2 linked regions of the Drosophila melanogaster genome follow. The gene in region 1 interacts genetically with each later gene. Each region holds a gene or a part of one and is shown on either strand. Other genes may lie near its edges.

Region 1 (15,700 bases):
CGAGGCGATCCATCGATTCCGAATCACAAAAACCAGTACAGTGAGTACTTGGGCAACATGACCAGCTTTAAAGAACTAACCTTTTGGATCGATAAGACGTGTGTGCCCCTGGTGCGAGAGGTCACCTTCGATAATGCAGAGGAACTATCGGAGGAAGGATTACCATTTGTATTGCTATTTTACAACAAGGACGATCTAAGTCCCATCCAGGAGTTCAAGAACGCAATTCAAAGCCAGATGGAAAATGAGACGAGGGTTATTTTCCTGACTGCCGAAGGAGAAGTCTTTAAGCACCCACTTTTCCATTTGGGAAAGTCCCCGAGTGATTTGCCAGTGATCGCAATCGATTCCTTCATGCACATGTACCTATTTCCACGCTTCCAGGACATTTACGATCCAGGTGCCCTCAAAAAGTTCATTGATGACCTGTTCAGCGGTGCACTGCATTATAATTACCATGTGGCCCAGCAGGCTAAGGAAGATTTGGAGTCCATTATCGATCCAACTGAAGACCTGCCAGTCGTTCACGAGTCCAAGTTTAAGGACCTCAAGCCATCCAAGCACCGTTACACGTTGGTCAACCGCACAAGGGACGAGCTATAATATTATCCTACTCTACCATAATCTTTGCTCATGCTTAGGTGTAATCATTTAATATCGGTTTAAGTCAGATTCTTAAACGTAAGAATATTAATTTATTTAACTTGACGCTCAAATAAAATTAATTTGATATCAGTTGTGGTGTTATCTTGAGCAAATAATATGGTATAATATCCCCCATCGGATACAATCCGTTCTCCGACTATGAAGTAAAATATTTTCACAAGCCCATCGCCGACTTCACCAGCATTGAATGCCCCATTTTGGACGCTGTGACAAATCGCACACCCATCATATATGGGCATCTCATCAGATAGTCAGGAGATGACACGTGCCTCGATATCGATATTTCCTGGAAGATCGCCTCAATCCAGAACAGGAACGTCGATTTCATTTGAATATGCTTTGCCGACTGCTCTACACCAGACCATATAAACACTAATAAACTCATTAGTCAAGCATCTTACAAGCAAATCTCACAGGTGCAAAATGCCAATACAATAAAATTGCAGTTCTCTTTGCAATCTAAGTACAGTGAAGTGGAAACAGGACAATTTTGTATATCTTTGAAACTTAAAATATCAGTAAAAATATCAATAAAAATATAAATATATTTTTTTTAACAACAAGTATTTAAAAATGTTGACCGTACCGAACCGATGTATTCTTTAAACTACTAAAAATTTAACGACATAAATTCCAATTGATTTATTATTAAAAGATAAAGTGCACAATTTGCATTTTCGTTGACAGCTTACCACATGTATTCTAACATCTGATCGCATCACAATGTTAAATTCTCGAGGGAGTATCGCGTCCTTCCTTTTCAGGGTCTAGGCTTGGTGCTTACACTTCTACTCCAATATTGTCATAATTAATAATATCTTTATGGTCATATGCCAGCGCAAAATCGAGCGTGACTCGCGATGAAGTATCTGCCACAGCGGCGAGTGCAGCTGCAGGTGCAACTGCCTCTAATCAGCGTCAGCAGCGCGTGCCACTCGCGTTGTCACCTGCACAATTATAGAATTTTCCATAGTCGGGCAGTGCTGGCCACCAAAATGGCCTGTTCCCAAAAATGGTGTCCGCCAAGAGTCCGCGCGAAGTGTCCGCCATAAATAACTGCCAATAAATGTCAACGGTTTTGGCGCATTAACATAACAGCTACGCCGAATTCGTTGACAGGTTACTGCTTTTTCATCGAGCGCAAGACCTACCTGGGCAGCATCTTCCATCCATCCATCTACTGGCATCATTATTTCTCGGGCTAAAATTGAAATAATCGCCTTTTAATCGCCTACGCCTTGACGGGCTGACTTGGCTCCAATTACCGCTGCAATCGTTAACTCTTCTGGCTGACAGCCAAGTTGGACATGAGCCCCTTCAATTGCCACTGGGATCATCAGGCCGATCGACAATAGTCGCGGAAGTCACGTGCGGAAGTTTTCCAACTTTCTCAGTTACAATGTTGGCCGACAAACATGCGAGTTCCGAATTAAAGCTGGAAAAACTTCCGTTTACAAATTACCTGTTGTCTTATTTTTTTGGAAATTAACCTAGTTTTAAAAAAAATTTTATTTAGATCTTTTTTCCGTTATTAAGATGAAGGCATGAACTGGTACTTAGTACTCATTTATATTTATGAGAAAAAGATTATAGTACGTTTGCTAAGATGGATGTTACGGGTAGCAAAGACCGTTTTCGACCTTATTCCTTATTCTTAGCTAGGTCCACTAGCCGAGTCCTATTAACAATGGCCGTCCGTATAAGATCAATATATTTATGATTCAACAAGCAGATTCTGTAAATGCCTGAGAGCGATTATGGGGTATACATACAATTAAATCGATTTTTAATAAAAATATATAGAGTAGCTGCTGACTTAAATACTCCTTATTCCTTCCTTTTAAGTTCGGAAAGATAGCTATAAAATTCATATACCAATATCCTTTTTTCAGCTGTAATAAAGCGAACGAAAATATTTAAAAAATATTTTATATTTTGTGCTTGATGTTCCCGCACTCGAAAATACGATAAATTCCCAAAGCTCAGTGAGACCCAGCTGACAATTACAATAGCAATTTGCCGTGGTCAAATGTGTGATATTTCAATTTAAACTTAACGGCGCAAGTCATTAAACGGCAGATACAACATGTACTGCAATCGGAGGGAAACAAGATGCCGCAAAAAGCGCAAATGTCGCAAAAGACGGCAAAAATCGACAGCAAAAGCAGAAATATCGGTGGCAGCCGCCATTTGAGAGAGCTCAACATATTCAAAGTTGTGCACGAGCGCGATTCCAATTTCATTTTGTGCTCGGCGACAGGGCAAAAACCATTTGCGCAGCAACAAATGAAGAAAAAACACAAACAAAACGTTTTTGTTTAATTAAATTAACAAAATACGCGTCGGATGAGCGGCTAAAAAAACTCGGTTATTTTGCACGCAGACCAACACGCCAACACGTGTTGCAGAATTGGCCCACAGATAGAGAGAGTGTGGCCAAAAGAGAGCCAATGTCAATGACTGGCTTTAAGCCTACTCTTAAGCCCTATTCTGTCCCACTTCCACTCGGCAGCCAAGTGACTCCGTCTCACTCGAGCCACCATTCAGTTGGTGGCCACTCACTCGCTCTCCATGCGAACATAGCTCATGCGCCCTGTTGTCTCGCTCTGCGGCACTCGGCCAACCCGTTCTGGCCAATCGGCAAAAAGCGGTTGAAAAACAGGCGGAGCCTCTCCGGACCCCCGATGCAACTTGGTCGGGAGCCCTCAGCCCCGAGCCCTGATCCCCGTCCAGAGGCCCAAAGCCTGGCCATAAGCCACATGCAAACCCTGCCCCTGCGCCATTGCAGCTGTCGGGAGAGTCTGTCAACCATTTGGCGTCCATGACCAAGCATGACGGCTATCTGGGCCCTGTTTGTGGTGCCACTGCTTCTGCCACTATCTCATCTCGAGTTCTGGCTTTCTGGCTGGCATTTTGACATTTCGCTCGGAGGCTTCTGGAAGCGGTGGCGCCGCACTGCAGCATCTGCAGCCACATCAGTTATCTGTTCCGCTGCGGTTTGCGGCGATAAATGTGCGCCATCATGCAACTGACTAACTGCGGACTTTGCATTGCGTTGCGGCACTGCGGTTCTGTTTCCAGATCGTGCAACTGTGTTATCCAAAGAAGTTATCCTGAACATAAAAATATGGAAAACAAAATTGTAGTATATTTCAAAAGAAATTTGAGATTTGTAAACGAAATGGGAGCTCCTTGGATAAGAAAATACATCAACTTGAAAAGACATCAAAATGTAAAATATGTTGCTTCTGCGTTTGGATACCTCGGAATTATATAAACAAGGAATGTTTTTAATAAATAATGTTTTAAATAAACAAGTATTTAAAAATTGATGTAACAGTTTTTAGTACATTCATTTAAAACAAGCTTGACGTTATAATCGAGCTTCTCGGCTATCAAATTCCCGCCACTCAGCTGGCGGAAGCGCGAGGGAAAAACTTTTCAAACTTCTTTTGAAATCTCGTAAGAAATTGAAAGGAAGAATAATAAAATAATATAATAATAATATATTTTACAAAAGTCTGGCTCGGATGGTTTGCGGGCGTTAAATGTTTTTGGCATGAAATAACATGTATTAAAATAAAAAAAAAAAAAACAGAACAATTTTCAAAAGAGTGTCGTTAGCTTTTGTGGGCGTTTGTGGATTGGGATGATCAACGGTCAAAAACCATCTTGCACTACGTAGAATCTACCTGACTAATCTCAACTTCTAAGCCTTAATTATATATATAAGAATATATATATTTATACCTGTTATATACTACTATGCCCGTTTACTCTACATGTAACGGGTATAAATACGTAATAATTTAAATGCAATTTTGTATTATATATGTACGTTTGGTATAATATGTCGTTATGTTGTCTTTATTTAAATACTATCTCATCGTTGTTGGCTGAAGGTATTTAAAAGGCGCGATCTATTATTTTACATGACACTTTGGCTTGGATTTGTTATTAAAAACATTAAAAACGTTTGCGTGAAAAATTATTTAAAAATAACTTAACAAACTTTATTCAAAAATTTTGTCAAATACCTAGATTACAAATAGCGTACTTTGATTTAAAATCTAATAAATAATTAGGATTTACCGATTTAATATATATTATACAATAAAATTTGTTATTTTTTCGTTTCTTAAAAACACATAAACTTTTTATTTTTCTTTTTTGATCATTTTCCAAGTGCTAAAAGTTATCTGAATCCATCGGTCAAAATGGCTGGTCGTCTGCAAATACAAAGTGGCATTGATGACAGTGCAAACAAGAGCGGCGACAGTCGAAATGCGATAAGGAAATTTGTGCTGCACTCAAATAAATGAAAAGCGGCACGGAAAGCGCATAAAATGGCAGCCGACAAATGGAAGACCATAAAAAATATGCAATTGCGGCGGGCGAGCCATATTAGCAGGTGAAATAATCAAATTAGCTGATAAACCGAACGGGAAACTGCTGGACATTAGGTTCCCAGTCGGTCGGAAAAACCACGATGGCTAAACGCAGCCATTTCCCAGTGATTTGAGTGAGGAAAGGCCAGCTACATCGTTGCCGTTGGGATCAAACATAGCTGCAATACTGCTCTACTGGTGCAGTACTGCAATTCTCAGTCCCCAGGTGGATGTGCCAATTGCATTGATTAACTAAATAAACGCGCAGCACTTGCATTTTAATTTCATTTATTTTGACCTTTTTCCCCGAGGAATGGCAGTTGCAGTTGTCACAGCCGAAATGCGCTGCCATTTTCCCACCCGCTGGCGACACATGTCCGTACCCATAAAAAATGCCTTGTCAGGAGTAAAAAAAAAAAAAAAACTTAAGAAAAATTAACAAAAAATATAAAACGGCAAGCACAAGCAAAAAGATGCCAGTCAAGGGGCGAGCAGTGAAAAAAGAAATAAACCAAGTGCTCCAATAAAAATTCCACCGCCTTCACCCTCGTGTCGACCTGCTCTCACACTCACACCCTCTCTTTCACGCTCGCACTCTCTCTTTTTTGCCCGCTTTTATGGTTTTTTTTTTGTTTTAAGAGCGCATCGCCGCTTTTGCCCTGCTTGCTCTTGAGCTTGGCCAACGCTGCGTATGAGTGGAATTTTTTCAGTGCCGCCGAATCATCGCTTCGCTTGAAATGAATATGTGTGATTATTAGCCGCAAAAAAGCGTGTTTCGTTTTTGCCACTGACTTTGGTAGTTTTTGCGGATTTTTAATTTGAATATTACATGTATTAAAAACTCATTACTACGCGTGGTTCGCCATCGAAGTTGGTCAATGGGCTAATGGTCTGCGGATGTGATTTTTTGTCATTTCAGCGTTTGTCTCTTGCGCAAAATTATGCATTTGGGATCGGAACGAATGTATGCTCCTATCTTCATTTTGGGTGTGGAATTTGCATTATAAAAATTTAAAAAAGGAAAATTTTAAACGTAAATAAATCAAGTTTCATTTGTACATGGTGGCAGAGGAGAGACGTAGAAATTGCAGACTAAGTAACTACATTTTTTACAAGACAATAAATAAAATAATAAAACGTTATTAAGCAATTAAATGGAAACCACTTTCCTGATAACACTTTTGATTAACCCGTCTTCGGTGGCGGACTTGAACCTTCATTGCTCGTCACCTAAACGCCCCCGTGTTTTACCATAAAGATTGAGCTATAAAAACGGAGTGCCGCATTAACCGTTCGCCGCGCAACGAGCAGCGTGCAACGTGCAGCATGCAACTCGCAATATGCTCATTCATGCTCAAAGTCAAGAGAAAAGAAAAGCCACTCAGGCAAAAAGCCCGAAATCAAATCAAAGTTGCTCAAGAGACCCGGTAGCAAAAAGCGAGCTGCAGGAAAAACCACAAACAATTTTTTCCATCGCCCCGAAGAGAGAGGGAGAGAGGCCGCGTGAGAGAGGGAGAGAGCGAGCGAACCACTTTTTGCCACTGCTTTTGGAGCAAAAGGAGTAAAAAGCTGTTGCGCAGGCGTCGCCGTCTGCCCCAAAGCCGTGCCAGCCACGAGTGCGAGAGAGAGACCGGGCGAGTGGAGCGACAGAGAGGGCAGCTATGCTGCGATTTGGCGGCGAGTGCGAGGCATTTGAATGTTTTTTTCGTGGCCGCACTCAGCATTCGAGTTCGGAATTCTTGCGAGCTGGCAGCTACTTTTTGCGCTGCTCGCTGCTGCCGCTTCTGCTGAGCCAAAGCCATAGGCAAAGTCCAAGCCAGGCTAAGCCAAACTAAACCTGGCCCAAACGGCCGGCCACTCGGCCACTGTCCACCAGTTGGCCACTTTCGCGCGCGTTCCAGCCAAGTGCACTCCTCAGTCTGCACTCTCCGTTCTGCAGTCCGCAGTCTGCAGTCTTTTTTGCCCGCGTCTCCCAATCCGCGAAGAATTCTGTCGCAAAGTGCAATGCATTTTCGCCATTCCGCAAGTGCAGCTGCTCCCCCAGCTCGCGGTATCATAATTAAAAATCGAGCCGAGTGAACTCGCAAATTGTTATCACCACACGTCGTCGTCGTCTGAGTCGGTAAAAAACAAGCCAGGCCCTCGAAAGGGTCGAAATTGGTCAAGTGTCAATGCGATCGAGGCCGTAATAAACGTGTTTCAGTGCTCCCCTGAATAGTTATTGTGATCCGCTGATCAGCTGAGTGAATGCAAGTGAACGAATATATTGAGGAGTATCCACTTACTACACGCGATAATTGCGAGAATTTCCACGAGCCACTCTGAGGAGTAGATATCGAATGGGGTTAGAAAGTAATGAAGTCATTCTATAAGTCCCAGCAGCAGCAGCAAGAAAAGACTAGCCTAATAAAATATTTATTTTAGGCCATTTTGCGGAATTAAGTTTTAAGATACTTGTTAACAATAATTTGATAAACTAGTTACAAAATTATACAAACACAAGTTAAACTGTTCCAAAAAGTATATATATTAAATATATTTAAAGCTTCCGCCTAAATCGATAATATATTATATATTTCCATATGTCCCTATAGTAAAATTATAGTTCGGTGATGATTAATAACAAAATTTACTTCAAATGGAAATATACCGTTTTTATTTTGTAAACTGAAACCATAAATTTTTCGTTTATTATGTAAACATTCCATAATTAAAAATTTTTTAAAATTATTTATGAAATCAAATCGGTTGCAACTCATTGCTCACATCACGATTCTGCTTAAATATTATTTACCTAGGTAATCCCAGCTTTCTTTTCTATTGGGTTCAGTACACTCCCGATTCAGGGATAGACGAAAGTAGTTGCTTTCTAACCACATGACTCTTTCCCTACTATTCGCATCTAGCTCGATTTCCCAAAAAGTGAACAAAACAACAAAACTAAACTAAATAGCGCGTTATTTAATTGAAACGTAAAATAGATATTCCGAGCGAACCCCCAAGTGGAACTAATTAGAATAACGCCCTGAACAACCGCCAATCGAAGGTGCTTAAATGATTATGCATGGTACCTGGTACAAGGGACCTCAGTTGGCGCACCATCCTCACTCGAATCCGCATAACAGTTCGCACGGCCACAGTGACTACCACCAGTTCCGCTCGTACCCCTCGTTCGTTGTAACGCCCTACCACGATGGCCATGTCCAGGGCCCGGCCACGCCCACTCCATGCACGGCCCCGCCAACGCCCTGCAACGGTCCAGTTCCAGTTTCAGTTCCAGTTTCGATTCCCGTCTGCCACACCGGCGGCCAAGGTTCGCCAGTAATTGTCGAGAGCTCATTTGCAATCGCCGCCGCCGCCGCTGCAGCGGCTGCTGCCGTCGCCGTCGGAGGATCCAGTGCCACGCCCCTGCTGCCCAGTCCGCCCATCAAGATCGAGCAGGTCTTTGGCGAGCCCTCTTCGCTTGGAGCCGTCGTTGAGGATTACGCGCTGGGACTAGATTGCCCCGTGGAACACACGTTTCGAGTAAGCGCACTAAAAAGTTTACAATATTATGAAAATATATTATATGAATACGACCTGGTATTATTTTATTTAATAAACACTATTAAGTACTTTAATTTGAATGCAACGGAAACTTTTATCTAGCTGATAAAATAAAACATTTACGTTGTTTTTATTGTATAGGCATTAATGATACTGATACAACCGTTTCTTTAATTATCATTTGTTAGTATGAGAGCTTGTATTCTTGGGCAAACGTTAAATCTGCTTGCCAAATTAGGAAATCTTCTAGCTTTTGAGATCTCAGACCGTTTACATAATCGAAAACACAGATAGATAATAATGATCCTAATGATACATCTTCGATTGAATAATAAATCGTTTTTTTAAGTAGAAGTAAGCTCTAATTCTACTGAAGAAGTGCAAAATTTGTGTAAGGTCATTACTCCTGAACATGGATAAATTTACCTACCCAAAACTAACTTCTTTGAATTTAGTGACATGAATATCGAATAATAATTTTTTTTAAGTTTTACTCATTTTGTATCCACTTTTAAGATATTGGTAGCCATTTGATAAATGTTTTCTTTTATTAAATAAATGAACACTTTAGGCGTTATTTAATAAAAAAAAAATAGTTAAAAGAAATCAAAGCTCATATTTTTAATCCTCACCGTTGGTTGCCATGCTTTAGCCATCCGACTGCCGTTTCCTAGCCAATTTTATAGCAGTGTATGGATAATGTTATTATGTCAAATTACTGGTTAGCATCCCCATTGGAGCAGCTGCTGCACTTGTTTGGCTCGACTCTCACCACCGAAAGTGGGCGTGCTCCAAATCAATTTCCATAAAATCATCCAATAACACTTAAAAGCCAGGCAGGGCAAAAAGCCGACAAACACAAGTGGCAGGCGAGTAAAAAACAGGAAAACAAACACGCCCCCAACTCGAAGAGCGTCAGTGAAAGAGCTCTCTCTTTCTCTCTTCGGGGAAAGCAAGAGCACCGCAAAACGGAGAGATCTCTTGTTTCGAGTGGGTTTTAATGGTAAAACGCTCAAGCTTTTGCGTCGCTTTTTCAGACGGTCCAAAGGACACTTTTTGTCGGCTTGGTTCGTGCACAGGATATCCCATAATTGCCTGGCTTACAAAGCTTTTCGCAGTCTAATGCAGATTGACTGATGGCTTCAAGTGGATGAAAGGAAATTAATGCAAATCAACAGGTGGTCCTGTGAAGTTTAAGGACATATGTCAGCCTGTGGAATAAAATATGTAATTCGAGGAATTCAAAATATGATTGATTTTTTTAATTGAATAGCAAATAATATCTTAAAAATTTTAAGTTCTCAAAATTTCTTATATTTCGTTATAAATTGATGGATTCTTATATGCGTTTCTCGTGTGCAGAAATTCCGAGAAATACATTTCAATTACCCGAAAGAAACCATTTTTTTTTTCAAACCTTTTTTGAGCTTTTAATGCATCTTAAAGGGCAAAACCATTTCCTTCTGCTGCTGGCGATGCAAAATGGACGCACGTTCCTTACGCTTATCAGGACATTTCGCCCTCATAGCCAAGCCCATGTGTATATGTGTGTGCGTGAATGCCAGCAAAGGGCAGCTGGAAATCCTTGAACATAAAAAGAAAACAAGCCAAGCATCCAGCACATGCACATAAAAACATATGCTCCTGGACAGGATTTAGTTTGGGGACGCCATCCGACGCCTTGCACTTTTTCCGACGCCGACTGCGACGCAGGCTGCGCTGCAAATGCAACTCCTCCATGCTGATACTGCCTCATTTTAAAGGGTCCTGATACTGCACCCTCGTACTTCTTATAAGCAAATCGGCTTAGACGAGCGTTTGCTAGAAAGTCTATCTCAATATAGATTAAAGGTCTTCCAGAATATATATATAATTATGGTGGAACAATGGCTTAAGAAATTGATACAATCCAATTGAGGTTGAAATGATACAAGAACATTTTTTATTTTAATTAAAAATTACATAAGTATTAGAACAATTATAAGTAGATAATAATTCATAGAAAACACAAGTCTTTTGTCCATATGGTGTCAATAACATATTTTTAAGCTTTATTGATTACTTCTATCAAGGTTCCTAGAACTAAAAAAGTTCTTAATAAGATTTGATCTCCTACTTTTCCACATCGATCTATAAGTAACTTTTAATTTACTCTTTGATCTACTTGGATCAAACAAGATGAATATTATTCAATGGATTTCCCTGCCGCACAGATGAAACTTAACTTGAGGGGGAAAATTGCAGCGGAAAATAGAAAATCATTCAGAGAAATTGCACAGCAAGCGGTAACAAACAAACAACGGGCTTCAGCTGAGCTGGGGAAAACTAGTAAGAAAAAGGGAAATAATATAAACAAAATGAAGGAAAGAAATTGGCGCTCGTGAAATGTTAACAGGGCCAGGAGGGCGCTGAGTTGAGCAGTGGCAGTGGCAGCAGAAGGATATATATCCGCAGTCATCCTCGAGCAGCGACGCCGACAGAGGCAGCGACGCCGACTGTGAAGCTGGCAGCGCTGAATGTTTTTATCCTTTCTTCGATGTGTCGTCGCGGCATATTGCTCTGCTCGTATCTGTGTGTGTGTGTGTGTCTGCGTGTGTAGCAGTGTGTTTGTGCCAGGACATCACACGGTTTCGCTTTTCTTTTACAACTTTTTGTTATTATTTCGTTTTTTGCTCGACGCCTGTAATGTATTTCTTTCAGTTTGCTGGCGTTTTTTTTTTGCTTCATGTGCAAGAAAAAAATAAGCTTTTACTTGGCTTTTTTATGTCCGAGTGTGTGTATGTGTGCGTGTTTGTTACTGCTGCTTTTCCGAGCTCTACTTCTTGAGTTTCCTTTTCGCGCGCGCCATTTCGCTGCTGCTTTCCACAGCTCCTGCTGCTACTTACCCGTACAACAAACATGGCCATAAGTCGCCGGAGCTCGCTTCCGCTCTGTCTGTTTTCCTTTTTCCACCAGTCGCCGGCTCTGCCGCAGTCGCAGTCTCGGCCGGCGTCTCAGCCGCAGTCGGCGTCGCAGTAGCTGCGATTGTTGCATGTGGTCCTGGGTTTGTTGCCTTTGGCGGGCTGCAACTCTCGTTGTCTTCAGTTCGCTTGGGCTTGGCCAAATCTATTGGTCGCGGTGCCGCGCTCACGCTCGCGTCCGTGTCCGTGTCCACATCCGCATCCGCATCCGCATCCGCGTCCGTAACCGTGTCCTTTTGCGGCCGAGAGTTGCGGCCACCGCACGCGAGATGGCGCCGCATCATGACGAGGGCTGAAAAACTCCAATTAGGATAACCGGGCTGGTGTCGGGGATGAATTTGTACATATTTAAAATCTACTGACATCCAGAGTATTAAGGACAAGGACGTGACATAAACGACTCTACCCCTTTCTTCTATTATCGATATTTGGTTATGTCCCAAGAACTCCCTGAGCTATATCAATAATATCTGATCACTATAATAAAGAACTAAAGATCCTTTTCAGCTTATTATGCTTATCTTCAACTAATAAAATAAATCAGAACTCTTATCATAGCTGATCCCAGAAGGACATGTAATAAATAATTGAAACTTCTGTTCTCTTTACGTGCTTACCAGCATATCAAAAGTACCACTATATTTTAAAAAGTTCTTAGAGTCAGAGTGAATTATACTTTAGTTTTTGGCAGGTAGATTTGGATATTGCTAACATTCGAGCACCGTCAAATATGAAAATATGCCAAACGTTGTTATTCTTGTCTACGCCTACAGCAAGCACGTCTTTTTGAAGAAAAACAGGCACACAGGACCTATTATAGGATGTGCAGCACACACACATATAAGCGCCGCTTGAAGACATCGAGGCGAAATCAAAATAATAAAAATCACAAACATGAGCAAACCGTATAAAAGAAACCCAATCTGCCGGAGCTCACCGTTTTCCCCCGATCTGCCGCATGTCGCGCAAATTCAGCTTTATTTTCTATTTTTCCCCATTTTTCGCTTTTCTTACAAGAAAATGCTGCAGTGCGCGCTGAAACTGCAAATGTATGTCTTTATAACGGGCAGTGTGCATATAAAAAGAAGAGAGAAGGGGGGAATTATAAAATGAAAAAGGGGCAGAAATAACAAAAACTGCAGCAGGAGGAAGGTTGAGAGGAGCAACAAAACAGTCACAACACACAAGAGTCTCAGTTAACGCACACACACACCATATTCCTTCATGTTTTGTGTGTGTGTGTGTGTGTGTGTGTGTGTGAGTGTATGTGTGTGGACTTTTGTATGTATAAAACATTCGCGCGCGCTCGCCATTTTCTTTTGCCCTGAGCTGCTGCACTTTGGCTTCCAGTTGGGCTCCTCAGTTGTTGCAGGTTATCCCACGCTCGCTGACGGACGGAGACGTAGACGGACTCACGGACAAGACATCCGGACAGGCGGACAGCCGGACGGGCAGGAGCCAACACAAGCTCACCCGGGAGACCAACTAGCAAGCACTCACTCTCAAATCTTTTCTTATCAGCATGAAATGAGGAAAATTGCGGTACATAGTTAGCTGCAGCTTTAAGCCCCGTATGCGTAATATGAACACCGGTCAACGAGGCGTATACACAATACCAAAGCAGTGCCAACACCAGGATGTCATTGAACACCACAATGGCATTGAATAAAGTTCCTTTTTATGTGAAAAAGTAAAAAAAGATAAGCCATGTTAACGCGAAGCTAAATAAAGGATTTTACGAATAAAGATCCTCAACGAAAGTGCAAAAATAAGGATAAATCATGTAAACTCCGAAAATTGTAAAATTCAACTGCAACGCAAAGTTCCTATCACCCAGTGCAAACTACATTTAGTATACAAGTGAATTATATTCACATTTCGCTTTTAACAAATAAAATAATCTACTTAGTATTTCAAATAAATAAATAAAATATTTATCAATCGAAAAATAATCTCTTAAATAATTGATGAGAAATTAAATTCACAATAAATATGCTGGAAAACGCGAATAAAAACTCACCACTAGACGACTAACTTAACCCACCTAGTGGAAAACGCAACAAACAAAACAAAACCTAAACTCCAGCCACAGAATGAAACAATCATAGATGAAAAGTAAACAAAACTCCACAGCTGAGCAAATAAATCAAAACGCAGAGACAATGAGAACCGACAAAGTGTTTACTAAACAATAAACAAAACATCAAACTGAAAAAAAACAAATTGGTCAGCATATGCAAAAAAAAAAAGAATTGCTACAGATGTCCATCACGAGCAGCACAACCATAAAATCAAAAAAAAAAATGTTCCAAAAATAGCAAACTGGCAGCCAGCAAAACTTTTCAAGGTCGTCGCTGGCAAGTTTCTGGTGGCAAATCATTTCTATTTGTTTCAATTTAGTGCGCATCTAAAAAAGAGCGGGGAAAAGTTTCTAAAGTGCACTCCGCCCCAGCCATCTAAAATGAAATAAAAGTTAAGCCAAAATAAAAAGACATCAGATTTGGTTGCAAAATTTTTGTTTGCTGTTGTTCCGCCCCCTTTTTTCAGCGTGAAATGATTGTGTGTGTGGAAAATCAAGCAAACTGTGCCTCAGTTAGATACATTACTGTAAGCGGGGGCTTTCCCGTTTGAAAGTGAAATTGTCGAGCTGGAGGAGTAAAAAAAAGGGCTGCCTACATCTGGGCTCCACCGAAGTTGGTTGTCATGCACGAACTCATTGGCAAATACAGCCATTCGGACATGGACATGCTGAAGGATCAGCTGAAGCGTGGGGGCTACATGGGCGCCCTTGGTCCGCCCACGCCCGGCACATCCGCCCCCTCGCCCTTCCTGATGCCCGCCGAATTCTACAAAAGCCTGCTCGCCAGCGCCGTTCTGCAACAGCAACAGCAGCACAAGTTCTACGCCGGCACGCCCTCACCCAGTCCCGCCCCCAGTTTGTCACCCACCTCAGGTCGCCACTTGCTGTTTTCCACGGCAGCTGCGGCAACCGCTTGTGCTCCGGAGAATGGTCACGTGAAGACGGAGCTCGAAGAGCAGGACCAGCAGAACGGGATGCCGGAAACCGTCGGACATGAGGAGCAGAAACCCATCATCGAAGAGAACCCAACGCCGAATGTTAGTATGGGAATATGTGTGGAAGTAAATGAGGGGTCATAAATGGGATTTCAAGGGTTTTAATTTTGATTATTTTGGGATGCAGATAAGTACAAATAAAACAAGGCTTTCCTGTGTCGGCCCTTCCTTCATGTGCACACGAAGTAACCCTTAAATAAAAGTCCTTGCCCCACAATTAGAACTTAATTGTCGCATGAGACTAAATGTTTCTATCAGTACTAGTTAAACGACATGATACGGTCACTTGAGAAGTAATTAAGAGCTCAAAAGTATTATCATTATTTTATATGGAAAATACTTTTCCCTATTGATTACGAATGATCGATCATTGGATCTTTGGATAAGGAATTGTTATCATCTTAATATGTTTAAAACCCTTTGATTTGTATTGATCGATTCCTATCTCATAACTGAATGGCGGAATGCTTAGAAAATAGAAACATATGACGACTCTTACGATACGGTATGAATTCCATTAAAAACTCGTTTCTTTTTTCATGCTCAATGCCTTGCCAACTCAATATTTTTAAATGTTTGACGAAACCCTTTTTCACACAGACAACAAACCATTTTTCATTGCAGAAGCCGCACAACAACAACGGTTACTCGTGGTCCACCGGCAACAACAACGAGGTTGTCAGTCATAGCAGCAACGGCCACACCAACAACCACCCAACAACACCACCCACTCCGCCCAACGAGGCCAGCGCCACCCAAGCGACTTCAGTGTCCGCAATTAATTTGAATCAAGCCCAACCCGCATCACAGACGCGTTCAAACTTTGGCAGCTCCATAAAGTCACCACCATCAGAACCGGACGCGGTCACTGCTGCCACGTGCAAAAGTCAGGAGAATAACTCCGGCCAGAACCCCACCCCCAACTCCCTCTCCGATCACAACCCGGCTCACAACCTTAACTCGAATTCAACGGCCGCTGCCGTGGCCGCCGCTGCCGCCGCCGCCGCCGCTGCCAACATGCCGATCGGCGGCGTCCAGGGTCAGAATCCCACCCAGGGCCTGGTC
Region 2 (18,273 bases), about 11 Mb from region 1:
CAGTTGATTATAGACTCTGGCAAAAACTGCTTACTACCAATGATCTTTTTTTATTAAATATTTACGTTGTAATTACTTTAAAGAAAGTATCTTATAATATGTTGGCGTTGCATTAACCATGTTTTTTTTTACATAACCGAATTTTGTAATTTATTGTTGATTTCCCACAGATGAGATCGTCAAGGAGACGAAGAACAACAAGATCCTAGTCAAGAAACTGGATCTGGGCTCCCAGAAGTCCGTCCGTGAGTTCGCCGCTGACATTGTGAAGACCGAGCCCAAGATCGATGTGCTTATCCACAATGCCGGCATGGCTCTGGCCTTCCGCGGACAGACGAGTGAGGATGGCGTGGAGCTGACCATGGCCACCAATCACTATGGACCCTTCCTGCTGACGCATCTGCTCATCGATGTACTAAAGAAGAGCGCGCCGGCTCGCATAGTCATCGTAGCCTCGGAGCTGTACCGCCTGTCGTCGGTTAACCTGGCCAAGCTCAATCCCATCGGCACTTTCCCGGCTGCCTACTTATACTATGTGTCCAAGTTTGCGAACATCTACTTTGCCCGGGAGCTGGCCAAGCGGCTGGAGGGCACCAAGGTTACAGTGAATTTCCTGCATCCCGGCATGATCGACTCGGGCATTTGGCGTAACGTTCCCTTCCCCCTCAACTTGCCCATGATGGCCATCACCAAGGGATTCTTCAAGACCACCAAGGCCGGCGCCCAGACCACTATCTATTTGGCCACATCCAATGAGGTGGCCAATGTGTCTGGAAAGTACTTCATGGACTGCAAGGAGGCCACCCTTAATGCTGCTGCCCTCGATGAGGAGAAGGGTCTCAAGATCTGGGAGGAGTCCGTGAAGATTGTCAAGCTTACGCCCCAGGATCCCAAAATCTAGACGGGTGTCTGCGGCTGAGAGCCAACGCACAATTTACTGATTTACTTTTCTTGTTTTTAAGGGGGAGTTTACTGTAGCCTAAGTTTTCTCAATAAAAATGATTTTGTATAATTAAATGTGGCTCGTTTTCAATATGATATATTTGCTGTCAGAAAAAAAAGCACATCAAATTTCTGACTATATATAATATATTACAAAGATCTTGGTTGTTATATCGGTTGCTCGTGAGTAAAAGGGTATACTAGAATCAAGACTAGAATATAGTCTGGATCAAGATCAATAGCCGAGTCGATCTGGCCATGTTCCTCTGTCCGTCTGAATGTCGAGATCTCAGGAACTTTAAAAGCTAGAAGGTTGTGATGCAGCATACAGATTCTAGATACATAGACACAGCGCATTCACACTAACTGAGCAACGGGTATCTGTTAGTCGGGGAACTCGACTTCTTATTGGCACAGGATTTCGGCTTGGATTTGCAAGGGGACCGTTTTTGTATTACATGTAATATATATTGACAGTCACTCGATAAATCTTTTGCTAGGTAACTAGATATGACAATTCTGACAAGTTTTGAACTTTTCAACTTATTGCTTCTCGTTATTTATTTTGTAGCTGCAGCTTCTTAGTCAAATGATCTTTAAAAAAGTTCTTCTAGGTATTGAGATATGTTAAAAAAAAAATATAAACCAATTTGCTCTATAAGACATTTTACTAAAAGTAATGAGCGTCCATTCATCCCTCTCCTAATACACATATATTTCAGAAAGAATTATGCAACTACTGGTTACATTTTACCCGTTACTCGTAGAGTAAAATTGTAAAAATATGTAACATAAAGTTGATATATTCTAGATCAGGATCATCCGTATCCGAACGTCGAGATCTTAGTACCTCAATTTTTATTGGTCTTGTGAATTGCTTTCGTTTTGTCACGCCCATGATTACTTTTTTTCTTATTTAATATTAATTACAAATAAGCAAACCTGGTTCACCCTAAAAATTAACAGCCTCTGTAAGCTATAACAGGAGTTACTGTTAAAAGCTGATGTAATAATAATTTTATGTATGGTCTAGAAATTAACTGAATCCTGGAATAATTGTTTTAATTCAACTGATATCCATCCTGGATACTCCGTTTCAAATTAATTTCATGAGAATGCTCGAGAACGACAAATCACAGCGCCAATCGGGTGAGGCAAGGTAACCCGATACAAATGGAGAGGGGAGCAGAATCGGGGAAAGGCCGAAAAATTCTCACACAAAGTTTCGTTGGACTCGCTCACCTGTTGAGGAGGACCAAGGGGGTGGATGGCGGGAGGACTCCCGGGGGACTCCGTCGACATGTATAATCTGATAAAATTGCAGTCGCATCCTTTGCGGGCTGTCACCACGCCTGTTTCTGCAGAAACGGAGGGTTGCGGTTGTTCGCTTTTGCGTAGATTGCTATCAGCTCCTCGACGGCACGTGACTTGCCCAATGATGATGATAGTGCCGATCGGTGGCTAATAATATGTTAAATGGCGTAATTGAAATTTAATATTTATCCAAAGGATTACAGGATAATCATTTGCGGCTCACCAAAATGGCATTAAAGATAGCGAAGCGTGCGGCACCGCAGATAATTGAAGGACCAAACGCCCCTTAATTCGCTACTGTGAGAAACCAATAGATCATCGATCGGAACTTTTCACAGGATTTGTTTGCGGAGGTGATGCCCCAATAAAAAACAAACAAAGAGTGCGTTTTTACTGCTGCATTGGTTTGTATCTGTCACCCAGAATAGCAACTTTATTGATAAGATACGAGTATACCGGTAATGAACCCTTCTGGTACCGAAACCCCCTTTTGTTTTTGTTTTTCAGAAAGTATCGCCTTACAAATTCAATTTGGCGCGCTTCACTCAAGTGTACTCATATCCAGAAGGACGAAAAGACATTGTTGTGGCCAAGTTCAGTTTGTAATTCAAGTAGTTGTCTCCTTTTCTTGGGGGAGTCCTTCGACCGTACTTGTATCTACTTCTCCCCCTGGGTTTTTAATAAGTCGCGGGCATTTAATAAGCTGGCTTAGGTTTTTAATAAGAAGTGGGTTATGCGACAGTCCCGATCCCGATGCCGAATCGTCCAGCTGTCAGGACAGCGGTTCGTCCTTCCCCATCCTGTCCAGCAAATGTCAACTGGCAACGGCTGCGCCTGTCACGCGGTCATCGATACTCTCCTCGGGAGCGGGGGCGTCGGTTGTCGGCCCAATTGCACTCACAGATGTCTCATGCACTCCAGTTCCAAAACTCTACAGTTCCTACTAAGTCATATCATAGAAACCATACAGTCCACGCCAGTTGTCTATATCACTGGGGAAGTGTTATTTACAAGTTAAAGGATCCTCTCAGTAAACCTAGTAAATAAAAAAATTGATAAGAAATTAGGAAGAGTGTTTTCACATCCTATATTGAAGAAGAATTTGGCTTAAAAACCGACTGTTAAGCGATGATTGATTGATATAAACACAGATTTTAGCCACTTAAATTCAATTGTTCTTATTAAATCTTAACTTTTGAATCGTTTCTTAATACAAATTTATAATTAGAGGTAACTTATGTTCAAATACCATTGATAAGTTTCATCAGGCATTCAATTACAACAAACTGATAAGTTCAAGGATATGACTTTCGATGGAATTAAAAGTTAAAGGTGTGGAACATTTTTATAATTCACGGCACTTAAGATTGCATTTTTTATTTTCTTAAATAAAGAATAAAGGAGTACGTTCCTTTTGTAAGGCTCTAAGCCCAGGACTTGTTTATAATTTTGTTACTTTTTGTTTATTTTTGTTTATTTTTGTATTTCTGTATCAAAGTTAAGCGCACTTAATGACAACTAATTGTTAATCATCTCTGATTGAGCAGGCACACCTCCCCCACTCCCCGCCTCCAGTTGAACCAAGTTGGTTAGCTCATTTTAGCCGGCATGGTAGCTAATATGACCGATTGGCATTAACATGTTGAATGACTTGAGTGGCAGCATAAAAGCAAAGCGCAGCCCAAACCAGGAGAAGCCCCATCGGTGCAGCCCGAAAAGTATTTCATTGATTTTAGAAGCCTCGCCAATTCACAACGGACTACAGAGCGGCGAAGGCAAAAGAAATGGAATGAAATGAATTGAATTGAAATGAAATGAAATGTGCTCGAACACGAAATGCAGAATGAAAATGAGTGAAATTTGCCTCTCAAGTTGCTGGTGGCAACATGGGAAACGTACGCAGGGATGGGCAGCATCATGTCCTGGCATTGTTAGTCAATTGAAATGCGCAAAACAAACACCAGCTAGCAATGAGCGTTCTGGCAAACAAATCCACGTGCGATGATAAGGTGGTTGGTGGATGGGCTGGTGTGATAACAGGTCCCTCTAAGAGGGGGTGCTCGAATATGTTTACCCTGCGGCTTAATTTGTAGCAAACTCTTGAATTCTTGAATTGCGGTCAATCGAGAGATGGGAAGCAGTTTGATCAGCTGACACCTGAACGCACCACCTGAGTGGAATCTCTGGCTAATTGTTATTGATACCACCGGATTGCCTGGCTACCAGCTCGCAGCTAGCAGCTAGCAGCTCAAGGATCGCATCCTAATCCATTCTGACAATCGGCAGCAGAGACAGGCTCATGTCCTTAGCCAAGTTGTTGACATGAAACTGATACTTGAAGCGAAGTAAAAAAAAAAAGAAATATAAAAATTGAAAACTGGTTCGAATCTGCTCAGACTGTGGATCTGATTTTAACACACACGACGCTGGCTGGGCTTGACCTGAAATTCCCATCGATAAGGTAAGGTGATATGGGGGATATAGCTCGATACGTATGCGATCACTGCAAGCCTTTGCACTCAACTGATTTTGCCAATTGGCGGTGAATTCGATTTCGGGCGTGTGAACCAGGTGATCGATCCGAATTGGGATCTCTTCATAGCATTATATCTATAATATATCTTAGCTAAATATAGTCGAGTTGGGCTTAACACATCTATTTCATAATTTCCATTTGCTTTTCCATCTGGCCTGCGATTTATTCCTTGCTTTTTCTGCTGCGACCACAAATCGAACTATCAAATAACATTCAAACTATTCACGATTGTCGGCCCGGCGACAAGAGCATCGATCGATTGGCAGTCGTCATTGGCCGGGCTACAATTGAGAATCAGCGCCGGAGATAGAGATACAAAGATACACGCAACAGAAGCAGATACACACGGCCAGATACGCAGATACAAGCTACAGAAGCAGTCAGGGGGTTGCCGGCCGACTTGGCCGATGGACTGCCTCACTTAACCACAAAACAATGGAGCGAAGAGGAAGCAGAATGCCGACGAAGACGATCAATGGTTGGCAAGTCCGTAGCAACTGTCCCTCCCTCATCAGAGACCCTGCCAGAAAATTCCCATTTTAATATGTGAATTACTTTATTTTCAATACTTCTTGTATCATATTTATATCATACCAATTACATTGTTTATTAATAATCCCTATAGTACTTTTTGTTTATTATGTAATAAAATTACAATACCTTTATTTTAAGAAAGTAAATAATATGTTATATATCGAAAATATTCACTAATCACAAGCATATCAAATAGTCTCAAGTGATTTGATGTCCTCTTAAGAATTTAGCGACAATCTGCGGTTGTGCATCTATAGATTTTAAGGAAAAGGAACTTCATATCTTCTTTTCAACAAATAAAGTGAGGATACTTGTTTGTGAATTGAAAACAACGTTATTTGAACGGCCATCGATTTTGAAGTGTAACATTCTAGAGCACTAGAACTGCTTGCTAGCGATTATTTCTCGAAGTGTACTCTTTTTTCTCCCCGCCTCGTTGGTATCTGGTGTCGAGCTGTAAGATATTGGGTGACAAATAAAAACTACTGAAAACTGCTGCCGATGTAGCTGGCCACGTATGAATGGGCCTGAAACTCGGACTGGGCGGGATCGGCAGCGGAGGAGTCGGATATGGAGGCGAAGGCGAAGGCGGAGGAGGGTGACTTTGGATTTGGATGAGGATGTGGACGTGGAAGCAGCAGAGGGGTGGGTAGTAGCCGCAAAAGCCGGCAGACGGAGCGCATTGGTTGGCCAACAACGATGACGGCAGCGTTGTTGTGGTGGTGGATGGATGGAATCTCAGGAGTGGGCATGGGATATAGTGCGGGATGGCTTGGTGTGGGTATGGTATGGTATGGGTTTGGTATTGGAGGAGGGGTGCTTTCAGCAAGGGTCTCGAGTGTGTAGTGCTGCGTACTTGTGTCATTATAGCCGACCAAAGTGTGAGTGCGAGCGAGATTGTTGTTGCCGTTGTCTTTTGCGCCCTTTTGTCGCTTGTTTATAATTAAGTGAGTATGTTTTTTGCGCCCTGCTGCTTCCTCTGTAGTTGTCGGTTGTCGCTTTGCTGCCGCTCTGCCAATCCGATATATCAGTCGATTTTGGGCCGAGGTGGCTCGAACCGAACTGCAACTGACAATTAGTCGCCGTCTTATGCTCCTCGCCAAAAGTCGCTTCTTGCCCCGCACTCGAAAAATCGAAAACTGAAAACGCATAAAATTCAAATCGGAAAACAACGATCGTGTGTTACTACTTAAAACCGAGTCTTCGAAAAAAAAGTTACAAACATATTTTGCAAGAAAACGTTGAAATTCTATTGGTGATCTTGGTATCATGCCATTTGTGGATCTATTCAGAAGGTGAAAACGATTAAGAGTGCATATGTGAATAAAGAACGGAATAAACAATATTAAATCTGCAATAAAAAAGAAGAAAGAAAAAATGGAATACAACTAATGTATTTGAAATAAAACCTAATAACTGCAAATAGCTAATTAAAATGTCCTAACAATGTTTTGGCTAAGATCGAAAAAATCAATTCACTAAGAAGATTTTATCAATTTAACAATATCATAGCTTTGATCTCATTAAAAAGAAAAACAAAAATTTACTTTGATTTGCATGCATAAATTAGTTAAATAGCAATTTTAACGTTTTGTTTCTTTCAAAATGAAAGTTATTGTAATTTTAGTATAATTTTTTAGTCCTAACAATAATGAAACAATCGAATTGAAATCCATCTTCGTCATAAGAGCGATCTATAATTCGATATCTCTTTTAAATTTAGAGGTGAAGAATCTGTCATATTGTGTATCTAATTTCTGATTAGCTGTCGAACTTTATTTAAAACTGAATTTATTAACACTTTATTGAAAATATATGAAGATTAGATTTGATATTGGTATTTGATTGAATAAATAATAAATTGAATAATAGATTTGAATAAATGAATAGAAAGTGAATCTTAATTAGAATTTACCAATAATGTTCCGTCATCGCCTTGCAGTTGGAAATTAACGCATCAAGATGAAGCGTAGGAAAAGCAGGAACAAATGCGCGACTGCTGAGCCCAAACGTTCCAGAAGTGGAGTCATGTCATGGGATTGTTATATAAGGGTTCCAAACTCCTGAACACAATTCTGGGTGAGTGAAATCGGAAGCACCATTGCACAGATATGCAGATACAGCATATTGTATGGCGATACACGGATGGAAAGTCGCGAGTCGAGAGAGCAAAGCAAATGGCGGTCTCTCGATTTGTGTATTTGTGTGTGTCTGTGTGTGTCTCGAGGGGCGGAGCTAGTGCGCACAGTGGTTGTCATGGGAGCAAAAATGTATCCATGAGATACGCGCTGCTGGCGAGCATCTCTGGCGTACTTCCAGTGATTTTCATGCTGTTCTTTTTTTTTTTTTTTTGGCTGCGCAGATTCCCTGGAAGATCAAGAGGGTGGAGCTATGTACATATCGTGCGATGTCTCAAACGGCGGTCCTGTGGAACCAGAGACGGGCTATGTGCCCAACAATCCCCTGTTCGGCCTGGCGCTGGACAGCCCTCAGGTGAGTCCTGGAATCCTTTTTCGATTTCGCCTCAATATCTCCGGAAATCTTCGAGCGTTCGGTTGTGCTTGTTTCGTGGAAAGAACTTAGCTGAAATCTGTGATATACCTGAACTATTTAAATTTTATAACCAGGAAATAGAACCCAATACCGAAATTGTGGTTATTTTAATTTGCTATATCGGTAACTGAAAAATCAGACAGTTTTGTACTAAGAAGTTTATCATTTTCGTTTTTAAAGTAATCTATTACATTTTTAACCCATACGATTTTATCTATTGGGAAGTTTAATAGCTTAGAAATTCCTTCCATATGTAATACAATTAAACTCTCCTCAGAAGTCAGTATTAGAATGTAAAAATAGTTAAAATTTACTAAATGTTTCCACTAACTAACTAATTATTTTGTCTTAGTTACGTATTAGTACTAACTGAATGTATTTCATAACCGGTCTCAATCTCCATTTCCGTTTTCGCTCGTGCAGCAAGAGTGCGCCGCTTCCTGCGTCGGCTGCCTATCCTGCCAGGGCAGCACCGCCCTGCCCATCTCCTCGCTCACCAGCAGCGACTTCGACTGCGGCGGCTGTTTCGATCCCACGATTGGAGTGGGCGTGGGCATCGGTGGCGGCCACATCCAGATCAGCACGACACCACCGGCGAGCAGCGGCAACGGGAGCAGCAACAACGGTGCCGGAGGAGGCTCCTCGGGTAATCACGGCTACTGGAGCACCGACGAGATGGCTTCCACATTTCCCGGCCTACCGCCGCTGGACATCGATCCGCTGCCCAGCCTGTTCCCATTCTCGCCCTGCGGCGCTTCCTACAACTTTGCCGCCGGCAATCCGCACCAGGCCGCCTCACTCTCCTACACAGTGCATCCGCACCAGATGCTCATTTCGCCGAACTCCCACAATCATGGCCAGATGCACTCGCAGCACCAGCAGCACCAGCACCAGCAATCCCAAGTCCAGGCATCGCACGTAGGCAACTCTCTCCTCCAAAGCAGTGGTGGCAACAATATCGGCAGTAATGGTAGTGCCGGAGGAGTGGCCAACGCTGCCAGTTGCTACTATGAAACCAGTGCTGGAACGGCCGCACCACCTCCTCCTCCGGCGGCAGCCATGTATCCCAGCATGAGCGTGAACGTCAGCATGAACATGACCATGCACCATGGCTACGGTGCCGGTGATGCAGGCGGCGTGCCAATGCAGTGCTCCCAGATGAACTGGACGCCACCCAGTAACTCCACCTCGGCGGCAGCAGCAGCAGCGGCGGTAAATGTGCTATACCCACCGCTGCTGAGTCCCGGTCACTATCCTGCCTCGGCCACATATTCCTTTACAGCGGATTTTCGGGCACCGGCTCCCACGGGTCTGGGTGCCCTGCCACCGCTGACGGTGGGCGAAAAGGAGTCGCCATCGCCGCCGGCCAACTCCTCTTTGGCTGGCTACTATCCCACGGGGGTGGGCAATCAGGGATACACACCGCCCCACAAAAGTCCCACCAGCTATCAGGCAGCCGCCCTGGGCTTAAGTCTATCCGCCTTCGAGGACGAGGAGGATAGCAACGAGGATCTGGACGGCGATGAGGGCAGCAGTGGCGGCGAGATGAAACCCAATCTATGCCGGTTGTGCGGAAAGACATATGCCCGGCCCAGCACGCTCAAGACCCATCTGCGGACCCATTCCGGCGAAAGACCCTATCGATGCCCCGACTGCAACAAGAGCTTCTCGCAGGCAGCCAACCTGACGGCTCACGTACGCACACACACCGGCCAGAAGCCGTTCCGCTGCCCCATCTGCGACCGGAGATTCTCGCAGAGTTCCAGTGTCACCACGCACATGCGCACCCACTCCGGCGAGCGGCCGTACCGCTGCTCCTCGTGCAAGAAGTCCTTCTCGGACAGCAGCACCCTCACCAAGCACCTGCGAATCCACAGTGGCGAGAAGCCCTACCAGTGCAAGCTCTGCCTGCTCAGGTGAGTCCGGGATGGGGGATTTACTTACACCGTCCTTCCTCATTCCTAAACGAACGAAAATGGTTTTGCTTTTACTTTTACGTAAACCCTTAAAGCTTTAAAGATAGTTTAATAATTTCTATCGTTTCAATATAAAACTAACAACTTGAACAAAACTGAGACTGTTGCAAGCTTAAAAAAAAGGAAAACCAAAGATAATATGCATCATTCATTTTCATTCATGCATTTTCGTAAGATTTTCAACTTCAACTAAAGAACTGAAATTAAATGAAATAATAATTGTTTATTCAAATGTAATGCTAAAGATGAAAATTACCCCTTAAAAAAGGCTTAGGCCCCCAAAGAGCAGTCCTGGAACGTTATACATCGAGTTAATTGCTTTTTTGGTGTCCACAGATTTTCGCAGTCGGGGAACTTGAATCGGCACATGCGCGTCCACGGCAACAACAACAGCAGCAATGGCAGCAATGGGGCAACCGGAGTTGGTGGAGAGTCCTCCACCGGCAGCGGAGTTGGTGGTGGCAACAGCCTGCTCACATGACAAAAGCCAAGGAGTGCAGGAGGTTTCCAGCATTACCACCCCCCGCACACCCACCACATGCACCACCAGCACCACGCCCATCACCATCACCACGCCCACATGGGTAACTACGACTACGGGAACTACAGCATCGGCGATTATACTCCACCCGGAGCCACACAAAACTATTCAGGGTATTATTTCTGCGCACTCAACAAGGCGCCCAAGTTCGAACGATTCTACTAGGGACTAAAATCTGGAGGATCCCATCTGGATAAGAAACCTTAAAGGAGGACCACTCAGTGAATTATACGGGGATAGTCACTCTATCGCTGATAAATACAATAATGTATATGCCATACTCAACATTGCTGTAGAAAAATAATTTGGGTTCGTGTTAAATTGAAATCCTAATTGAACATAACGATGTAATAATACTCATAACCCAAATCCGCATCCAAATGCAGTTAAAAATGCTCAAACAATACAAATCTGAGGAATCGCGGAGAATCGAACAAAAGTAGGCCTAAGAGCTGCACTGTACATACTTATACATACTATATTTATTATATTCGCTTAGCCTAATATGCATTGAATCCAAGTTAGTTCATCCATTAAATAAGGTAGTTCAAAACACGCATAAATCTATTCCAAATTAGCCAACGAAATAGGATTTAAGACGGATATGAGTATGAATCATAAGACCAAACAACACAGCAGCACCCAAAACGAGAATATTTAAATTGGAATTGCCAAGGCATTAAACCCATAAACACCTGTATACGAATATAGAGTCCTAAGCTTAAACTAGACGTAGATGTAAGACAGGTGCTTTGATCTAAGCCAATTTTGGAGTATATAAAGAAAATAATAAATATACGAAAATTAAATACAGTAACTAATTGATTTCAACAATTGAAATATTATATAATTTAGGTAAGGAATTCAAAAGGCTTGACATTTAAACAATATTATCAACTAGGTAAACGGCTTCTGTGTCGCCTCCGCAGACCAGACGACTTCCATGCACATCGAAGGAGTTGATGGACTTGCGAACATTACTCAGCACTCCCTCCACATCGACCAGGGAGCGAACACGATCGCCAGACAACCAGGGGCTGTGTCCGTCTTTGTTATAGTCGCACCCGAGAACTTTGTTCTCTGACCACATCCACACCTCGCCACCTTCTGCGGCGGTGAACAGTTTGCTGGGATCCTTTTGATGGAAGCCTATCTCGTTGATGGGACTTTTGTGAGCGCTGAGATAGGAGGCGGGATAACTGAGGTTTCGCATATCCCAGACGGTTATGGAACCCTCTTCGCTGCCGCAAAGTAAAATATGTTGCTGCATCGGATGCTTGGCAAGGGACGAGACAAAGTTCGACTTGTCATCCTGGGAGGCCACCATAAAGGTGGTCTTCGGCTGCGCTTCAGTGGCCACTCGGGCGTCCAGCATTCGGATAACACCCATCCTATTGGCAGTCACCAGTTCCTGCTGGCTGATATAGCAAATGGAAAACAGCGCCATGCTGTCCGCCTCAATCTGTCGCTTCACCTGGCGCACATTTTCCACGGAGACGATGCTTACACACCCATCCTCGCCGGCGGTGGCGATATCCGTGCCGTAAACAGAAAGGTCGGTGCAAGGAGCGGGCTCCTGGCTACGTTGGAAGCAGTGCAGACGTCCCGATCGGGACGTACGTTGCATCTGATCCTCCTCCACGGCTCGATGGACGTTAAACACGCTGAGATGACCTTGTTTGGTATTAAAATAGACATTTATTTAGCTGAGTTCATGATTGCTGGAACTTGTAACTGACCATCGGCACAGCTCACAGCCAGCGTGTCCTTGTCGACGAACTCCATGGCGGTCACATCGTCCTCCATTCTCACCTTGTCCATGCAGCGAGGTATCTGGTCCACTTCCGAATCCGTGGCGGTGACATATTGGTTCGATTGTAGCCGCCAGAGGCGCACGAAGTTCTGGTCCATGTCCCAGCTTCCAGTAACGAACCGTTCGCTCTGCTGCAGTTCCTCCGGAAGCCAGCGCACTTGGGACACCTTCTCGGATATGTAGTGCGTGGAAACGTTTGCAATGGACATCTTTTCGTTGGATTTAGCAGAGGATTCGCGATGTAAACAAAATAATGCGGCTTTCGAGTTAAGTGTGACCAGAGCAAGAAGATCGCAACATATCTTAGCGGGAAACTTAATCTGGTATCTATAAATTGGGCAGGGCTGGAAACAAAAGCAGAAAAATTGTTATGTGGATCTATATTATGGTACTTAATGAGCTTATCTCAAAAACGATTGGTAATTCTATTATGAAATTTTCCTGAAATATCCTTTAAGGTGGTCAAGCTTGCACAGGCTCTGCGAGTGGAGATGTCCCCCAAAATGTGGGGCGCCAATTTTTCAATAGCATATTATATATACTTTCTTGAGTCCTATAAACTTATTTCGCACATAGATAGTTATATCTTTCTTTTCTTAAAAAAATTGCATTTTTAGTTTATCGAATTCACCTTGAAATAACAATAATATAAATAAATAAAAAACATTTCCTTGTTCCAAATTCTACCGTTCCTTCATAACTCATCAAGGCACTTATCGATTGTCACAGTATTTTTTCGTACTGTGGTGTTTATGTGCGCCTACCCCTCCATATTTTTGGCGGGAAATAATAGTAAACAAAGCATTTAAGAAAACGAACAAGCAACGCGGGTTATGGAAAAATATTTAACAAAAATGCCCATCAAATCAAAAGCAAATGAAGTTCCCAAGGAAGTAGGCTAATACACAATTTCGTGCAGGGATAAAAACTAACTTAAAAGTATTTGTAGGAGGCGGGCGTCAAAAAGGAGACTCCCAAAGTGGCAAGGAAAGCAACAAAAAAGGATACTCCAAAAGAGGTTTGCATTTGTTTATTATTTAGAATTTATTATTTAAAATACTGCTACTGCTTTTTTCAAAACTAAGAATCGGTTTCTGTAAATCGGAAGCAATAATGACTATGTATACTATTTCAACCGAATAAATCTTGCAGTTGAAAGATAAAGAAAATGCTGGAGATGATAATACGCCAAAGCAAACGAAAGGAAGACCCGGTAGACCGGCTGCCAAGCGAAAAAATCTGGATACTCCAGATGTGGTAAGCAACAATTTATATATTAAGTTTATATTGGGACGAAGCATTAACAACTTTATAGAAGACTGAGAAGTTAGCGATGGAGGAAGAAAATCCGCCCAAGCGCCGGAGTTCCAGGCTGACCAGAAGCACTCGTTCAATGGCAGAGGATGGGTCTCCATCACCGGAGAAGGAAAAGCCCGAAAAGCTTCCCTTTATTAAATACAAGGGTGCTATAAAGTATTTCACGGAGAGCCAGGATATTGCGGCATCTGCTGACGATGTTTTGTAAGTTAACTCTATAACTTATTCCTGCTTGTTAATAATGTGCATTAAAAATCAAAACTTAGGCAATGGGTGGAAAAACAAAAAGATGAGGTAGTGCCCATGGCCTTCGACATGGAGTGGCCCTTCTCTTTCCAAACAGGACCTGGCAAGTCTGCCGTCATCCAGATATGCGTGGATGAAAAGTGCTGCTACATATACCAGCTGACTAATGTGAAGAAACTGCCTGCGGCCCTGGTGGCCCTTATCAATCATCCCAAAGTGCGATTGCATGGCGTGAACATAAAGAAGTTAGTTATACAAAGGAAAAATCCATTTGGATAAATAAAATCTGTTATTTTCCAGCGATTTCCGAAAGCTGGCACGTGATTTCCCCGAGGTTACAGCCGAACCACTGATAGAGAAATGCGTGGACTTGGGTCTTTGGTGCAATGAGGTCTGTGAGACCGGCGGGCGCTGGAGCTTGGAGCGATTAACCAACTTTATAGCCAAGAAGGCCATGGACAAAAGCAAGAAGGTGCGCATGAGCAAGTGGCATGTCATTCCGCTGGACGAGAATCAACTAATGTACGCCGCCATCGATGTCTATGTAAGTTGATATTCACTTTTCCATACAATTTCGTTCAATCTTAGTTTTCTTTTCAGATTGGTCAGGTTATCTATCGTGAATTGGAACGCCGCGAGAAGGTCAAGATTAAAAATGAAGAAGAGTTCAAGGAAAAGAACGGAGATGCTGCCTTTAAAGCAATGAAAGCATTGGGAGAGACATTTCTGACCAAGATCAACGAGGTGACTCTGTAAGCTTTTCTTTGAAGTTTCAGATATGCCATCTAATTCCTTTTACCTGTTTAAATATTTTCGCCTTCTTTCATTTATTTTCGGGAGTTTTTCTTAGTTTAATTTGTTACCAACGTGCTGCAAAATAATTGTTAAATTTAATATTGCTATCCAATTCGATTATTGATTACGATAACATTTATAGAATTGTTTATACCTAAATGTACAAATTATAAACACATTTTGATGCATTGACTTTGATCGGAACGAAATTTTACTAGTACTATACATTTTTGCATGAATTCTAGTTGGTTTATAAATTCCCTTAAAATTATATTAAGATTATACAGCTTTTTACACTTTTCAACTTGCAATAAATTTTAATTTTGTAAATTCGCATAAACACTTTTAATTACTTAATGAACACAGTTGGAGCTGCCTGTGGAGGCGTCACTTGAATTGCGGTCGCCGTGTGCCGATGGCCTCCAGTTTCCGCTTGAGCAGATCGTTGTCCAGGTCGATCTGGCGCTGATTCTTCTTCCGGTTCACAGCTGCGCTGGACAGTCGTGGCGCTGGAGGTGTCTGTCGCTGTATGACATTGTTAAGGAAGAGGTTTAATATTGGACATAAGTTCTATATTATGTACTCACCTTCTCGGGCCCATTGATCTTTATGCTACTGGTGCTAGCCTTGATCGTCGCCGTGGGCTTCACAGTCATCATCTTGCGCAAAAGAATCTGATTCTGGCGCTCGATCTCGCGCACTTGGGGATTCGTAAAGCTAAAGCTTTTGCGCCCAAGGTTTTTATAGCTATGCAGATGTAATTATATGTAATAGAGTGTATAAGTATTATAAGTTACTTACTTAATCTTATCATTAGAGCAGCGGGAACGCGACACATTGATTTGATACTCGCAACCGTCGCTGTTGAAGGTGCTTGGAGTTCCGCTAACGGCTCGCCTGTTTAACTCCATTGGTTTGCGCTGTTGTGGATGCCTCATGAGTCCGTCGCCCTGGCCACATTCGTCTACGAGGTAGCCTTCGCCCAAGCCGAAGTTCGCTGCCAGGTCATGGGGCAACTCGTGACCCATATCCAGTTTCTGCTCGTGTTCAATTAAATCCGATTCCGAGGGACATCTGCATTTGGGTCTGGGTAGCTTGGAAGATCGCGTCGTGAGTAGTGCCTCCTGAGAACGCTCCATCCGCATTGTCAGGGGGGGAATTCCTCCACCCAAGCTCCTAGCACTGGTCATAGTCGTTTCCGTCATCGATGACATCTCGGATTCAGTGTCCCCGCGCCTGTCACTTCGTTGCTGCAACATCTCCGTGGCCATGGCAAGCTGCTCGAAGGCTTGGCTATTTGGCGCTCCTCCATTGATCTGGAATGACTTCATGATCAATTCCGACATTTGGGTCATCTGCTGCTCCAGGTACCGAACCCTCGCCAGATCGGGCTGTGATGTTGGCATGTGTTCTTCTGTTTGATTTTCTTCGGGTTGTTCCGGTTCTTCCGGTTCTTCCTGCTCTTTTAGCGATTGCGAATCCTTAGCAGTAAGTGGTTGCTGTGAGTAGGTGTTTAATTATCTGTAGTGAGATATTATCTAATCCATTATTTACCTGCTTTCGTAATCTAGGATACTTCACCAAGGTGTTGTCTGTTTCGTCTCCTGATGCACACATGGTGACCACACTGTGCTCACTACTGTTATCACTGGCATCGACCAGCGAAACAATGTCCTTCTGGGGCGGTGGTAACTCCTTCTGGACCGTCTTTTTGCACACAGCTGTTACAATTGGTTCGTCCTCCTCCAGCTGCTCCACTTCCACATCCGTGCCCTCCTCCTCGTCGCTGTCGTCGGCGGATTGACGACCCATGGATCCATCGCTTTGGGCGTCGTCTTCGTCTCCTGGAATTTCTTCCTCCTCTTCTTCGATTTCCTCGACTTCAGCATCCTCGTCATCATTCTCGTCCTCATTATCGTTATCATTTTCGCCATCACCTTCGTCATCATCCTCGTCTTCAGCCTCGTCCTCATCCTTAACCCGAGAATGGGCACTGCCTGGCATCAGAGTGCGCACCGAGGGCGTCTCATCCTCCGGAGGCGTGTCCACTCGCAGACTTAGTTGATTTACCTCGGCTACCGTCTTGGTGATGACCACTTGGCTTTCGTCGTCAGAGGAGGAACTCAGGTAGGACACCACTCGGGCGCCCAAATAGCGACGGGCGTGTGGCTGTGGGCGCGATGCAGGTTGCGGATTAAGGCTGAACTCGGAAATAGTCAGCTCCTGGTGAGGAGGACTTACGTTGCCGCTAAGAAACTCTTCTTTCACATCGCTCTCGCTTTGGGTGTCGCTCTCCCCCAACAGAAGAGCGTCACTTGGTTTTGACTCCTCTGGCTCAATATACTCAATCTCTTCTTCCTCCACCTCCACCTCCGACTCCGAGTCCTCCTCGAAGGACTCCTCTCCATAGGACTCTTCATCTGAGTGTTCTCCAGCCCCCGACATCCTGTATGCTTATTCTTCGTCGGTTCTCTGATTAAGTTCCTTTCGTCGTTTGTAGTGTATTTTGTTTTTTTTGGGGTATTAGCGTTGTCACCCGTGTGTTTTTCTTTAGTTTGTACTGAGAACTGCCGAAACTCCTAGGCCTTTCAAACTTTGAATTTTGATTTCAGCTTGAGTAGTTGCTATTTGTTCACTGAGTTTGATTTTGCAGCCATTTCGATGCGCTCTTATGATTGACACCTTTGCGCCCACATTGGGGCAGGTGCTCCTCCGTCTCCGGTCTACCCCAAGTTGGAAAAACTGGGCGCATACCGCGCTTCTTGGCTCAACTTTGACTCCTTGGTTGCATTGCGGTGGCGCTGCCAACCGTCGACTGGAGCTCAGGTGAGCGGAGTCCGCATGCCCACCGCTAACCCCTCGTCGCAGCACCCACCACTTGACACCTGGGAATTTATTTATTCTAGCCAGCGGTTGTCCTGGGCAACAGAGCAGGCGCAGGCGGTTTGTTGTTGGTTGCCTCAGCAGCACTTTGCCGGCTCTTGTTGCGTTAATTATGGAAAACACTGAATAAATTAACCAACAGCACTGGAAATTGATATAAAGTGATATTGAAATAATACAAAAGTTATTCAGCAAGTATATAGCGGATTTACTTTTTAAGCACCGGGTTTAAGCTGCGAACACTAGAACTTTTTGCCGGATATATAATATTGATTTGTGTTTATATATTTCTTTTTTCTCAAGACCATATTACTTTTAACCACTAGCTTAAGAATTACAAGTTTAAAGCCCAATGATTCATATGCTTAATGGATTAAAAGTTAGGAAATTGAAATTGAAGATTGGATTTTCTAACTTGGTCATAAATGTATTATAAAGTGCAATAATAAACTCTGAACAATAAATATTAATCCATACATATATCTATAATAGTTAGTATATCTTGGTGATTTTATTTCTTCTACTTGGTAAACTAAACCATTATTTCCTGCTATGCATTTTCAAATATCTTAAACAATTAAGAATCCCCATTAGCTCCATGTGGCGCCGCCTCTGTGGTCAGGAACTTGCGCTCCAGCACTTTCTCTCCCTCGCCCAGCGACTCCATTCTCGGGGTATTTTCTCTGAGTGACTCTCACGAAATCTGACAGTTGAATGAAAGGCGAAGCGGCGTCGAAATCCGCCGCCTGCCAGTTGCAAATTGTAAATATTGCGAGCGGCGATGGCAGTGCTCCCGAATCGCTGCTTCAAATCCTCTCCAGAG

What was found.
Region 2: of rn (region 1) and gl, changing one enhances a phenotype caused by changing the other (phenotypic enhancement), as found in Drosophila melanogaster (one study listed by BioGRID).

What each region holds. Positions count from the first base shown.
Region 1 is NT_033777.3:7,300,736-7,316,435, reverse strand, and holds the start of rn (rotund), read left to right. Parts: upstream 1-6,806; 5' UTR 6,807-7,406; intron 7,407-7,960; 5' UTR 7,961-8,108; coding exon 8,109-8,579; intron 8,580-11,481; coding exon of another isoform or gene 11,482-11,844; intron 11,845-14,202; exon of another isoform or gene 14,203-14,263; coding exon of another isoform or gene 14,264-14,677; intron 14,678-15,259; coding exon 15,260-15,700. Other genes in the region: CG10029 (uncharacterized protein), read left to right, coding at 1-603; CG42544 (uncharacterized protein), read right to left, coding at 11,482-11,844. UniProt on the Drosophila melanogaster protein: Transcription factor involved in imaginal disks development. Isoform rn is required in the wings, antenna, haltere, proboscis and legs disks, while isoform roe is required in the eye disk.
Region 2 is NT_033777.3:18,360,865-18,379,137, reverse strand, and holds gl (glass), read left to right. Parts: upstream 1-6,399; 5' UTR 6,400-6,621; intron 6,622-7,268; 5' UTR 7,269-7,359; coding exon 7,360-7,405; intron 7,406-7,688; coding exon 7,689-7,819; intron 7,820-8,302; coding exon 8,303-9,795; coding exon of another isoform or gene 9,796-9,799; exon of another isoform or gene 9,800-10,191; coding exon 10,192-10,336; coding exon of another isoform or gene 10,337-10,561; 3' UTR 10,562-11,211; downstream 11,212-18,273. Other genes in the region: CG7675 (uncharacterized protein), read left to right, coding at 171-901; Nup43 (nucleoporin 43kD), read right to left, coding at 11,277-12,070, 12,136-12,418; WRNexo (WRN exonuclease), read left to right, coding at 13,043-13,102, 13,159-13,227, 13,362-13,466, 13,525-13,730, 13,793-14,017, 14,073-14,316, 14,373-14,528; hmw (hemingway), read right to left, coding at 14,955-15,092, 15,155-15,314, 15,369-16,066, 16,122-16,736, 16,809-17,012. UniProt on the Drosophila melanogaster protein: Transcription factor required for gene expression specific to photoreceptor cells.